3 linked regions of the Xenopus tropicalis genome follow. The protein of the gene in region 2 interacts with the protein of the main gene of each other region in a pairwise test. Links are inferred from orthologs where the notes say so. Each region holds a gene or a part of one and is shown on either strand. Other genes may lie near its edges.

Region 1 (3,177 bases), on a different chromosome or scaffold from region 2:
GTTCCCCAGGAATTCATGGTGAGAAATGACGCGCCCTGCGGTACCACCATTGGGCCCATCCTGGCGTGCAAGCTGGGCCTGCGGGTACTGGACCTGGGCTGCCCCCAGCTGGCCATGCACTCAGTGCGGGAGATGTGCTGCACCTCCGGGGTCCTGCAGACCTCCACCTTGTTCCAGGTAAGAACATAACACATGGGGCTATGAGTATGGGGCATTTTCAGGGTTATACTATTGCCAATGAAGCAATATTTACTGTATTAATAACAGTACCAAGCTCAGATGTTTCCCCCTCCCCCATCTGAAGGAACTTGGTACAGTCCAGAAGAAAACGGAAAGGACAACTAGCATTTTACGGTTTGGGAAAAGGGCAATTAAATTGTTTTACTCTATCAACTACTTTGTTGACCTTTAATTTCAAGTCTTAACTCAATATCAAAAAGCAATGCCCTCAAATCCCATAAATATGTTTCAGTAGAAAGGAAATCCTTCATTCCCCCAGCTGGGGGTTACACTACTGCCTCATCTCATTGCCATTGGATGTATTCTCTCCAGCCAGAGATCTTGCAGTGGGATAACAGATCAGTTTAAATCTCACTGTCTCTGAGCTAAATCTCCCAGAATCCTCAGCCAGCCGTAACCATAGACTTTCTTGATAACCATAGGCTGGCTGGGAAAACTGGGAGGTGTTGATCACGGATTGATTGATCGTTGGGTTGATCTGTGTCAGAGCACGGAAAGTGCCTTCTGTTTTACCAGATTATCCCTCCTCATCCTTTGTCCTTATCAGCGGCAGCTCCATAAACCCTTCCACCCAGGGAGACTGCACTGCTGGTTCTCATAACATACAAGTACCCTGGTTTATAGGTCACTGCTTCAGGGAAGAGAATATCGGGAGCCAATGGGGAATCGAGCTCAATAACTCACTCAAGGACTTGGGCAACGGAGTTAGAAAGCAAACCCAAGTCTGAGTATTTGGGGTCTCGGTGACCCCTGTGCAGATTTAGGGAGCAGAGGGGAAATCGGACGGTTGGGGATTTAGGGAGCAGAGGGGAAATCGGGCAGCTGAGGATTTAGGGAGCTGAGGGGAAATCGGACGGTTGGGGATTTAGGGAGCTGATGGGAAATTGGGCGGCTGAGGATTTAGGGAGCTGAGGGGAAATCGGACGGTTGAGGATTTAGGGAGCTGATGGGAAATTGGGCGGCTGAGGATTTAGGGAGCTGAGGGGAAATCGGACGGTTGGGGATTTAGGGAGCTGAGGGGAAATCGGACGGTTAAGGATTTAGGGAGCTGAGGGGAAATCGGACGGTTGAGGATTTAGGGAGCTGAGGGGAAATCGGACGGTTGAGGATTTAGGGAGCTGAGGGGAAATCGGACGGTTGGGGATTTAGGGAGCTGAGGGTAAATCGGACGGTTGGGGATTTAGGGAGCAGAGGGGAAATCGGACGGTTGGGGATTTAGGGAGCTGAGGGGAAATCGGATGGTTAAGGATTTAGGGAGCTGAGGGGAAATCGGACGGTTGGGGATTTAGGGAGCTGAGGGGAAATCGGACGGTTGAGGATTTAGGGAGCTGAGGGGAAATCGGACGGTTGGGGATTTAGGGAGCTGAGGGGAAATCGGACGGTTGGGGATTTAGGGAGCTGAGGGGAAATCGGATGCTTAAGGATTTAGGGAGCTGAGGGGAAATCGGACGGTTAGGGATTTAGGGAGCTGAGGGGAAATCGGATGGTTAAGGATTTAGGAAGCTGAGGGGAAATCGGACGGTTGGGGAATTAGGGAGCTGAGGGGAAATCGGACGGTTAGGGATTTAGGGAGCTGAGGGGAAATCGGACGGTTGGGGATTTAGGGAGCTGAGGGGAAATCGGACGGTTGGGGATTTAGGGAGCTGAGGGGAAATCGGACGGTTGGGGATTTAGGGAGCTGAGGGGAAATCGGACGGTTGAGGATTTAGGGAGCTGAGGGGAAATCGGACGGTTAAGGATTTAGGGAGCTGAGGGGAAATCGGGCGGCTGGGGATTTAGGGAGCTGAGGGGAAATCGGACGGTTGGGGATTTAGGGAGCTGAGGGGAAATCGGACGGTTGGGGATTTAGGGAGCTGAGGGGAAATCGGACGGTTGAGGATTTAGGGAGCTGAGGGGAAATCGGACGGTTGAGGATTTAGGGAGCTGAGGGGAAATCGGACGGTTGGGGATTTAGGGAGCTGAGGGGAAATCGGACGGTTGGGGATTTAGGGAGCTGAGGGGAAATCGGACGGTTGGGGATTTAGGGAGCTGAGGGGAAATCGGACGGTTGGGGATTTAGGGAGCTGAGGGGAAATCGGACGGTTGGGGATTTAGGGAGCTGAGGGGAAATCGGACGGTTGAGGATTTAGGGAGCTGAGGGGAAATCGGACGGTTGAGGATTTAGGGAGCTGAGGGGAAATCGGACGGTTGGGGATTTAGGGAGCTGAGGGGAAATCGGACGGTTGAGGATTTAGGGAGCTGAGGGGAAATCGGATGGTTGAGGATTTAGGGAGCTGAGGGGAAATCGGGCGGCTGGGGATTTAGGGAGCTGAGGGGAAATCGGACGGTTGGGGATTTAGGGAGCTGAGGGGAAATCGGACGGTTGGGGATTTAGGGAGCTGAGGGGAAATCGGACGGTTGGGGATTTAGGGAGCTGAGGGGAAATCGGACGGTTGAGGATTTAGGGAGCTGAGGGGAAATCGGACGGTTGAGGATTTAGGGAGCTGAGGGGAAATCGGACGGTTGGGGATTTAGGGAGCTGAGGGGAAATCGGATGGTTAAGGATTTAGGGAGCTGAGGGGAAATCGGGCGGCTGGGGATTTAGGGAGCTGAGGGGAAATCGGACGGTTGGGGATTTAGGGAGCTGAGGGGAAATCGGACGGTTGGGGATTTAGGGAGCTGAGGGGAAATCGGACGGTTGGGGATTTAGGGAGCTGAGGGGAAATCGGACGGTTGAGGATTTAGGGAGCTGAGGGGAAATCGGACGGTTGAGGATTTAGGGAGCTGAGGGGAAATCGGACGGTTGGGGATTTAGGGAGCTGAGGGTAAATCGGACGGTTGAGGATTTAGGGAGCAGAGGGGAAATCGGACGGTTGGGGATTTAGGGAGCTGAGGGGAAATCGGACGGTTGAGGATTTAGGGAGCTGAGGGGAAATCGGATGGTTAAGGATTTAGGGA
Region 2 (3,657 bases):
AATAGTTGTCCTATGGACAGATTCCCCCACCTGAGCTGTAGATCTCTGCAGCTCGTCCAGAGTCACCATGGGCCTCTTGGCTGCATTTCTCATCAGCGCTCTCCTTGTTCGGCCTGTGAGTTTAGGTGGACGGCCTTGTCTTGGTAGGTTTACAGTTGTGCCATACTCCTTCCATTTCTGAATGATCGCTTGAACAGTGCTCCGTGGGATGTTCAAGGCTTTGGAAATCTTTTTGTAGCCTAAGCCTGATTTAAATTTCTCAATAACTTTATCCCTGACCTGTCTGGTGTGTTCTTTGGACTTCATGGTGTTGTTGCTCCCAATATTCTCTTAGACAACCTCTGAGGCCATCACAGAGCAGCTGTATTTGTACTGACATTAGATTACACACAGGTGCACTCTATTTAGTCATTAGCACTCATCAGGCAATGTCTATGGGCAACTGACTGCACTCAGACCAAAGGGGGCTGAATAATTACACACACCCCACTTTGCAGTTATTTATTTGTAAAAAATGTTTGGAATCATGTATGATTTTCATTCCACTTCTCACGTGTACACCACTTTGTATTGGTCTTTCATGTGGATTTCCAATAAAATTGATTCATGTTTGTGGGTGTAACGTGACAAAATGTGGAAAAGTTCAAGGGGCCGAATACTTTTGCAAGCCACTGTAGTACAGGTATGGGACCCGTTATCCAGAATGCTCGGGACCAAGGGTATTCCGGATAAGTGGTCTTTCCGTAATTTGGATCTCCATACCTTAAGTCTACTTAAAAAACAATAAAAGATTAATTAAACCCAATAGGATTATTTGCCTCCAATAAGGATTAATTATATCTTAGTTGGGATCAATTACAAGGTACTGTTTTATTACTACAGAGAAAAAAGAAATCCGTTTTAAAATTCTGAATTATTTGATTAAAATGGAGTCTATGGGAGACGGGCTTTCCGTAATTCGGAGCTTTCTGGATAACGGGTTTCCGGATAAGGGATCCCATACCTGTACTAAAAAAGTATATTTTATGAAAATTGGGTTATTTAGAGGAAGCAGGGTTTTACATATGAGCTGTTTTATGTAATATATTTTTATAGAGACCTGTATTGTTTGGGGGGTATACTTATTCAAACATTTTCAGGCATACTAAGTAATGTAAACACATAAGGGAGGTTTCGGAAGTTCATTTATTCCTGATATACATAACACAAAGCCACCCAAAGCTGTGCTCCACTCCCCCCCCCACCCTTTTTGTAGAAATGGGCACAACAGTATAGAAATGTCCTAACACTATGGTAACCTAAAAGTGCCACATTTCCCCAAGTGGGCAAGCATCACCCATTTGCCTCTCATACTCTGTGAAACACACAAGAGAACTGAACAATGTCATCTTTAATAACATTTCATAGGGTCAGTCAGCTGGAAATCATTCATTGTCATCTCATAGCTCATCATTCAGCTTCCATTCTTTATATGCTCTCTGCCAGTGCTATCCTAATAATGCTTCCAAGTTCACATATTAACACGATAACAATGGTCTTCTATTTCCTTCATTCCAGTACTTTGTTTGCATCATGAGTTATTTCTAAAACATCCATATCTACAGTGAGCCATAACATATTTACCCATAGAATGAAACAGAGTATTTAATCCTAAGCATAAGTTTGAGCTTCTTAAGTTGATTAAATTGTGGCTATACAGTGCCTATAATTGGAACCTGGTGTAAAACCATTGATTAAGGAATATATGTTCTTCTAATTTTAAATTGTAAATGTAAATTTTAAATTGTAACTTTATAGAAGGACCATATACTGCACAGCTTCAACAAAATTGAATTGGGTAGGGGTTTGTAGTACCTAAATATGTTGTATTCTGTTACTGCAGTAATTATACCCACATAAATTGGTTAGTATTTAAAGAAAGAAAAATAATTTAATATTTTCCTTTACATTCTTTTGAACAGGTCAATGGCATTGATATAAGCAGTGTGCCTCACACATACGCCCTTTCCGTTCTCAGACAGCCTTCCAAAGTGCTAAGGCTTACAGTCCTCCGAGAACAGAGGTACAAGTGTCGAACCAATGGAGTCAACATGGAACAACACAGTCCACAAGATGACAGCATCCATGTTGTATTAAACAAAAGCAGCCATGATGTGCAGCTAGGAATAAAACTGGTCCGAAGAAGAGACGAGCCTGGAATATACATTTTTAATCTACTGGAAGGAGGCGTTGCTGCAAGAGATGGTTATTTGCAGGAAAATGATCGGGTTTTGTCAATTAATGGACATGATTTACGCAACGGGACACCTGAAATTGCAGCCCAGCTCATACAGGTGAGTAACTGTTATCCTATCACAGTGGCTCCCAAACTAGGGGGATGGCCATCCTACAGGGGTTGGAGCAGTGGCATGTGGGGCTCAGCCTGAAGGCAAGTTTGGGGGAGAATTTGGGAGGATGTTTATATATTCTCCTAGATATACTTGAAAGTCTAACTTGGAGGTCAGTTGGGGTGAGATTTGTGATCAGTATGTATTTGCTGTCCCAGATATTTTTGAACCTATAAATGATAAACCAATATTTTCCTGTATCTGTGCTCATTTCATGAGCTTAGGGTGGGCCTGACCAAAGGTTCAACCATTAAGAGAGTCCTTGACCAAAGGCTGGACTTTCAACTGGGACTTGAACTGAAACCTTTGATAACTACTACCCTACTGCATAAAGCTAATATTATGCTTACGATATAGGTTATAAGCAAAGCTACACCAAAAAAGTAATATAATAGGAAAAAAACTTGCAGGCTTACATGCTCTATAATGCATTATCATGACATCTCGTGCATAACTAGCACTTGGAGCTGATTAATACATTTCAGATTTCTGTATTACCCCCTTCAGTGTCTAAGGAAAATGCATCGGATCAGGCACAATGTACATTATGGTAAATCCTTTCCAATATTTATGTGAGTTGAATTAATCCAAGTAAAACCAGACATTAATTTGCTTTGGTGTTCAACAAGAGTTTAATGTTTAACATAGCGTGGATTGTGGCTCAATGTAGTATACGTTCACTGTTACACGTAAGAAAATGATATGGATAAATATGAAATTGTAACCCCTGCTTGTAAAATAAGGATATTAGAAATTGATGAGCAGTTACAAAACATTCTAAAGGCTAGAAATTCCATGGATTCTGAGGTGTTTATAGCATTTGTTAGCATACCCAGTATTATTAATACTATACAATTCATAGCTAATCTTTCACTCTTCTGCCGGATTTTAGTTCAGATATGACTACTGCACTTGCTTATAATTGGCTGTTCTACCCGCTAAGAGGCAGTTAGATTGGGATACCCCAGTAGCTATGACTATGTGAAGGAAGAAAGACGTTTTCTACAAGGCCTTTGGCCTTGTGCCTTTATACAGTCATGGAACTCCTTGGTGACTAATTTTACAATAGAGGGCATTTTATTTCCTGTATAATCTACAGTTTGGTCATTTTCCTATGGGACCAAACTGCAAATTAAATTGGTACATTACTACTTCACATCATGCTGTTTATAACTTAAAGGGACAGCACATCTCACTGCTGCTCTCCTCGGGCAGCTATTCCTCCACCCTGTACCCCTTCCTCTCGCTCCTCCTGTCTCACTCCCTCTTT
Region 3 (3,757 bases), on a different chromosome or scaffold from region 2:
GGGAGGCTTTCCTTGGGCCGGGTTGGAGCTGCAGGGTGCCATTGAGTCCTATGGGAGGCTTCCAAAATCATGCTAAGTCTGAAAGTTTCGCCCGCCGCTACAATACAAAAAAGTCGCCACAAGATACGAGCGAATCGTAATGGCTACGAAAAAGTCGCGACAATTTACGAAAAGTCGTAACGACAATGAAAAAATCGCAAAAAATACGAAAAAAGTCGCAAAATGTTCGTTTTCCAATCTGAATTTTTCCAATTAGGATTCGGGGGTTAGTAAATCAGCCCCATAGAGACAGTTATCAGTAAATGATCAGCATTGTCTATTTATGTAGCTGTGACAAGTAGCTGTTACTATTAGCTCAGTGTGTCTTCACCCTAAGTAGTGCGAACAGAAAAGAAAACAGATTGCTAACCGACCCACAGCCGCTTACTACTAGCGGCAAATCATTGAACGCTAATTTGCGCCGTCTCCGCTCGTCACTCACACAGAGCTGCTACGTCACTGCGCTTACGTTGTGATGCCCCAGTCTCGCGTGATGAGACTTGTGGCTTCGGGTCTTTCTGTAAGGAGCTTGCTAGGAGCAGCTTTGAGGGAGGTGTAAGTAGCGAGCCGGGGCTGCGGGCTGTGTTGGGAACATCGGTACTGTTGGTGCAGCATTCATTTACTTGGATTGGCCGAGTCATCTTTGCTGTCAGTGAGCTTGGGAAGGGAAGACGGGAGCTAGGGTTTCTGTGTTCTCTCACCTTTACGGCTTTATGAGCTGCACGTTTTGTCCCATAAGGTGTAGTCCCCGTAGAGCTGTATACACATAGAGGGTGAAGTTTAATCCCCCTCTGCCTATCCAGTCCCCTTGCAGCTATACAGGCTAAAACTTCTGTGACAAACGAGCAGTACAAAAGCTGTGTAGGAAAAAGAACATGCAGGCACGCTAGGTTTCAAGTTAGTGCAGTACTGCCTGCCTCCCCTTAACATCCAAACAAAAGGATATATTTGGAACAGATTTATTAAAAATCAGCTGTGGTTATTGGTGACATTTCTTCTTTGATATTCACTGTCTCTTTCTGGGATATACTGTCTCTGTGCCTACTTAGAAACCGATTGATAAGGAAATTTTTTTTTTTTTACAGGACTCTGCCCATTAAAAACATCTAGCATTATGGATGCCCCTGACTAGAGAAAACAGAAGTCAGGCCTACAAAGGACTTGGCCCTGCTTAGAAACAATGGATGAGTGGGACCCAGATTCCCATTCAAAGCTCCCTCTGCCACATAAGAAGCGTAGTTGGTACCTTGCCTGGAAATATAAAATGAGCAATCAGAGGGCTATACGACGTATGTGTCAAGTAAGTCTAAGGGTTTCTACAAAAAATGGGAAGCATTAACACACCCAGAAATCACACCCCACTCTGCATGCCATTGTGTAATTTGTATGCATGCAGAATGATTTAATTTCTTTAGAAGTCATTTTCTGCCAACTATTTGGATTGAAATACTTTGAACTGAAATCTTACTTTCTGCAGAGCAGATATGATACTTTGCATGATCCACGTTCAAGATCATACAATGTATAGCTGCCACAGATGAAAGCAAAATAAGGGGTAAATATAATCATGATAGAAGTGCCTTGACAATGCCGCTAGATGGTGTTGGGGAAAGTTGGCAGCGTCCTGTTTTTAGGATTTGGAGTGAATAGAAAAATCAGCTTTGCCAAATGAAGAAAACTTGGGTAGCTAAAGTACAAAATCTTAGCAAAATATGTGGAACAGTACATTACCTGATATATAATATGCTGTAACGTTTGCACTTTAAAATACTTCTAGCGTTAGGTATTTTCACTTAGTGGTGTAAAGGGTTGGGAAACTATGGAGCCCAAATAGCTTGCTTTTAGGATATAATTTGTAAGTAATACTTTACCAAACTATAATGACAGGTCAGTGTGACCAGCCTTTTTTTCTCCACTTGACTTTTCCTCTGGGTTAATTGTAAAAAACAATTGTCACAGCAGTCTGATTTTGTATACAGTTTTTGTAAAACTGCATTATAATTATTAGTTATTGAGGTTCTTAGTCATATATTGAATTAATGCTTTCCTCCACCAGGTATTCCCATCTTGTGTTGTAGTGGTTAGTTTTGAAAGGGCCTATTTTCATCCATGGCTTTTGAAATTCTTTTGCATGTCTCAGACATAGCTGAGACAAAACATTCTTTATTTTAGTTTACATTGGTTATCCTATGCTATAGTACAGAATTCAGAGCTGCGTCCCTCCACTGTGAGTGTAATCATTTTACAAGATACTTAGTACATAAGATAATCTGTTGTGTTTTTTTTTCCTTATATGAAGACAACAGCTGTTTTGTTCCTACTTGTAACAGTTATTGTAAACATCAAGCTTATACTGGACACAAGAAGAGCAGTAAATGAAGAAGAAATTGATCAGGACTATGGTAAGCCTATAAAGGATGGCACATATTTCCATACTACCTAAGACATAGATGAAGGATCTAAGTTTAGTGTAGTTAACTCTGGGTGATGCTTTTTCAAATGGAGATCTTTGTGATCTACAAATCAACATCTTAAAATATGCTGGGAATTTTTTCTTATTTGCAAATTACTGACTAAGTCTCTGAACCCGAATTTGTGGTTTGGCCCAGTTTTATGCTTTTCACCACATAGCAATCAGGCTTTTTTTCTATTCAGTTCAGGGGGGATTAGCAGGGAGTGATTTCTGGTGGTTTGCAGCTGACTAAAAGGCACTCTGGTGTGCTATCAGTCTTAAGATGAGTTAATTTTATTTTTTTAAATAAGCTTACTTGCTGTTTTTTTTATTGTGTGAAAGAAAGAACGGTAAAGATAAAGACTTTGAACAGAACATAGTTTTTGTGTATGGTTTTAATCACAAAACAATATACAGTTTTTTACTCTAGTTAAACAGAGCAACAAAATCTTGTGAGGTAGGTTACCAGTGCATACATAAACCAAAAGACCATTAAACAGTACACTGTTACACATAGTATTATATGTTCAGTTATGCTGGATGTATAATATGAAGTGCAAGCTGGTAAGCTTTTTTTTTTTTTTTTTTTTTGCAAATATTTGTTTTTCACTCAGATGAATCTTTGCAACAAGAGGATTCCCCACGTCGACCTGCCAGCAGTAAGAAAGTGCTGGACATTGAAATTTACTCAAGCAGATCAAAGGTTTACATAGCTGTGGATGGAACTACAGTAAGTCTTGGCTTAAACTTTGGAAATATATGCAGAAAGGCAAGATTCCAGTGAGATAAAAGCAAACATTTAATTCTGACAAATATTGATTTTCAGAAACAGCTTATCAGGTGTCGCATTATTTAGCACTCCCACCCTAAAAGGGCATAGGAAACCTTTGTTTTATATTTTACAGTGTTGACATGCACAAAAGAGGACTTTATTTTAGCCTTTTTTTTTTGATGTTGTAAAGAAGTTGCTGTACAAAAGTATCCCTCTGGCATTTTGTTGCCAGTTTTCACAACCTTCTGGTTGTGGCCCTTTCTGTCCTTCATGGGTTTGTTTGACAGACTTTCCTTTCTGTAGTTTAGACGCACAGGTTGAAATCTGTATCTGCCATATTTATGATTTTTATAACAAGAACTTCTTGTATTGTTTATTACACCACTTTTCTAAAACTTTTTTTTTTTTTTTTACTCTTGCCCCCTGAAACATCCTCTGTGGAACATGCACCCTTACCTACTCACTCTGTAACAGCTTCTTGCTTTCAATTGGTT

Evidence for each region.
Region 1: the proteins of lnx1 (region 2) and dnpep interact in a two-hybrid assay, tested with the Homo sapiens proteins (3 studies listed by BioGRID and IntAct). The link is inferred for Xenopus tropicalis from reciprocal best matches to the Homo sapiens genes LNX1 and DNPEP.
Region 3: the proteins of lnx1 (region 2) and pomgnt1 interact in binary tests that used the Homo sapiens proteins (3 or more experiments, as listed by UniProt). The link is inferred for Xenopus tropicalis from reciprocal best matches to the Homo sapiens genes LNX1 and POMGNT1.

The regions. Positions count from the first base shown.
Region 1 is NC_030685.2:83,817,194-83,820,370, forward strand, and holds part of dnpep (aspartyl aminopeptidase), read left to right. Parts: intron 1-9; coding exon 10-177; intron 178-3,177.
Region 2 is NC_030677.2:39,751,822-39,755,478, reverse strand, and holds part of lnx1 (E3 ubiquitin-protein ligase LNX), read left to right. Parts: intron 1-1,961; coding exon 1,962-2,333; intron 2,334-3,657.
Region 3 is NC_030680.2:92,988,336-92,992,092, reverse strand, and holds the start of pomgnt1 (protein O-linked-mannose beta-1,2-N-acetylglucosaminyltransferase 1), read left to right. Parts: upstream 1-1,137; 5' UTR 1,138-1,219; coding exon 1,220-1,339; intron 1,340-2,338; coding exon 2,339-2,441; intron 2,442-3,105; coding exon 3,106-3,221; intron 3,222-3,757. UniProt on the Homo sapiens protein: Participates in O-mannosyl glycosylation by catalyzing the addition of N-acetylglucosamine to O-linked mannose on glycoproteins.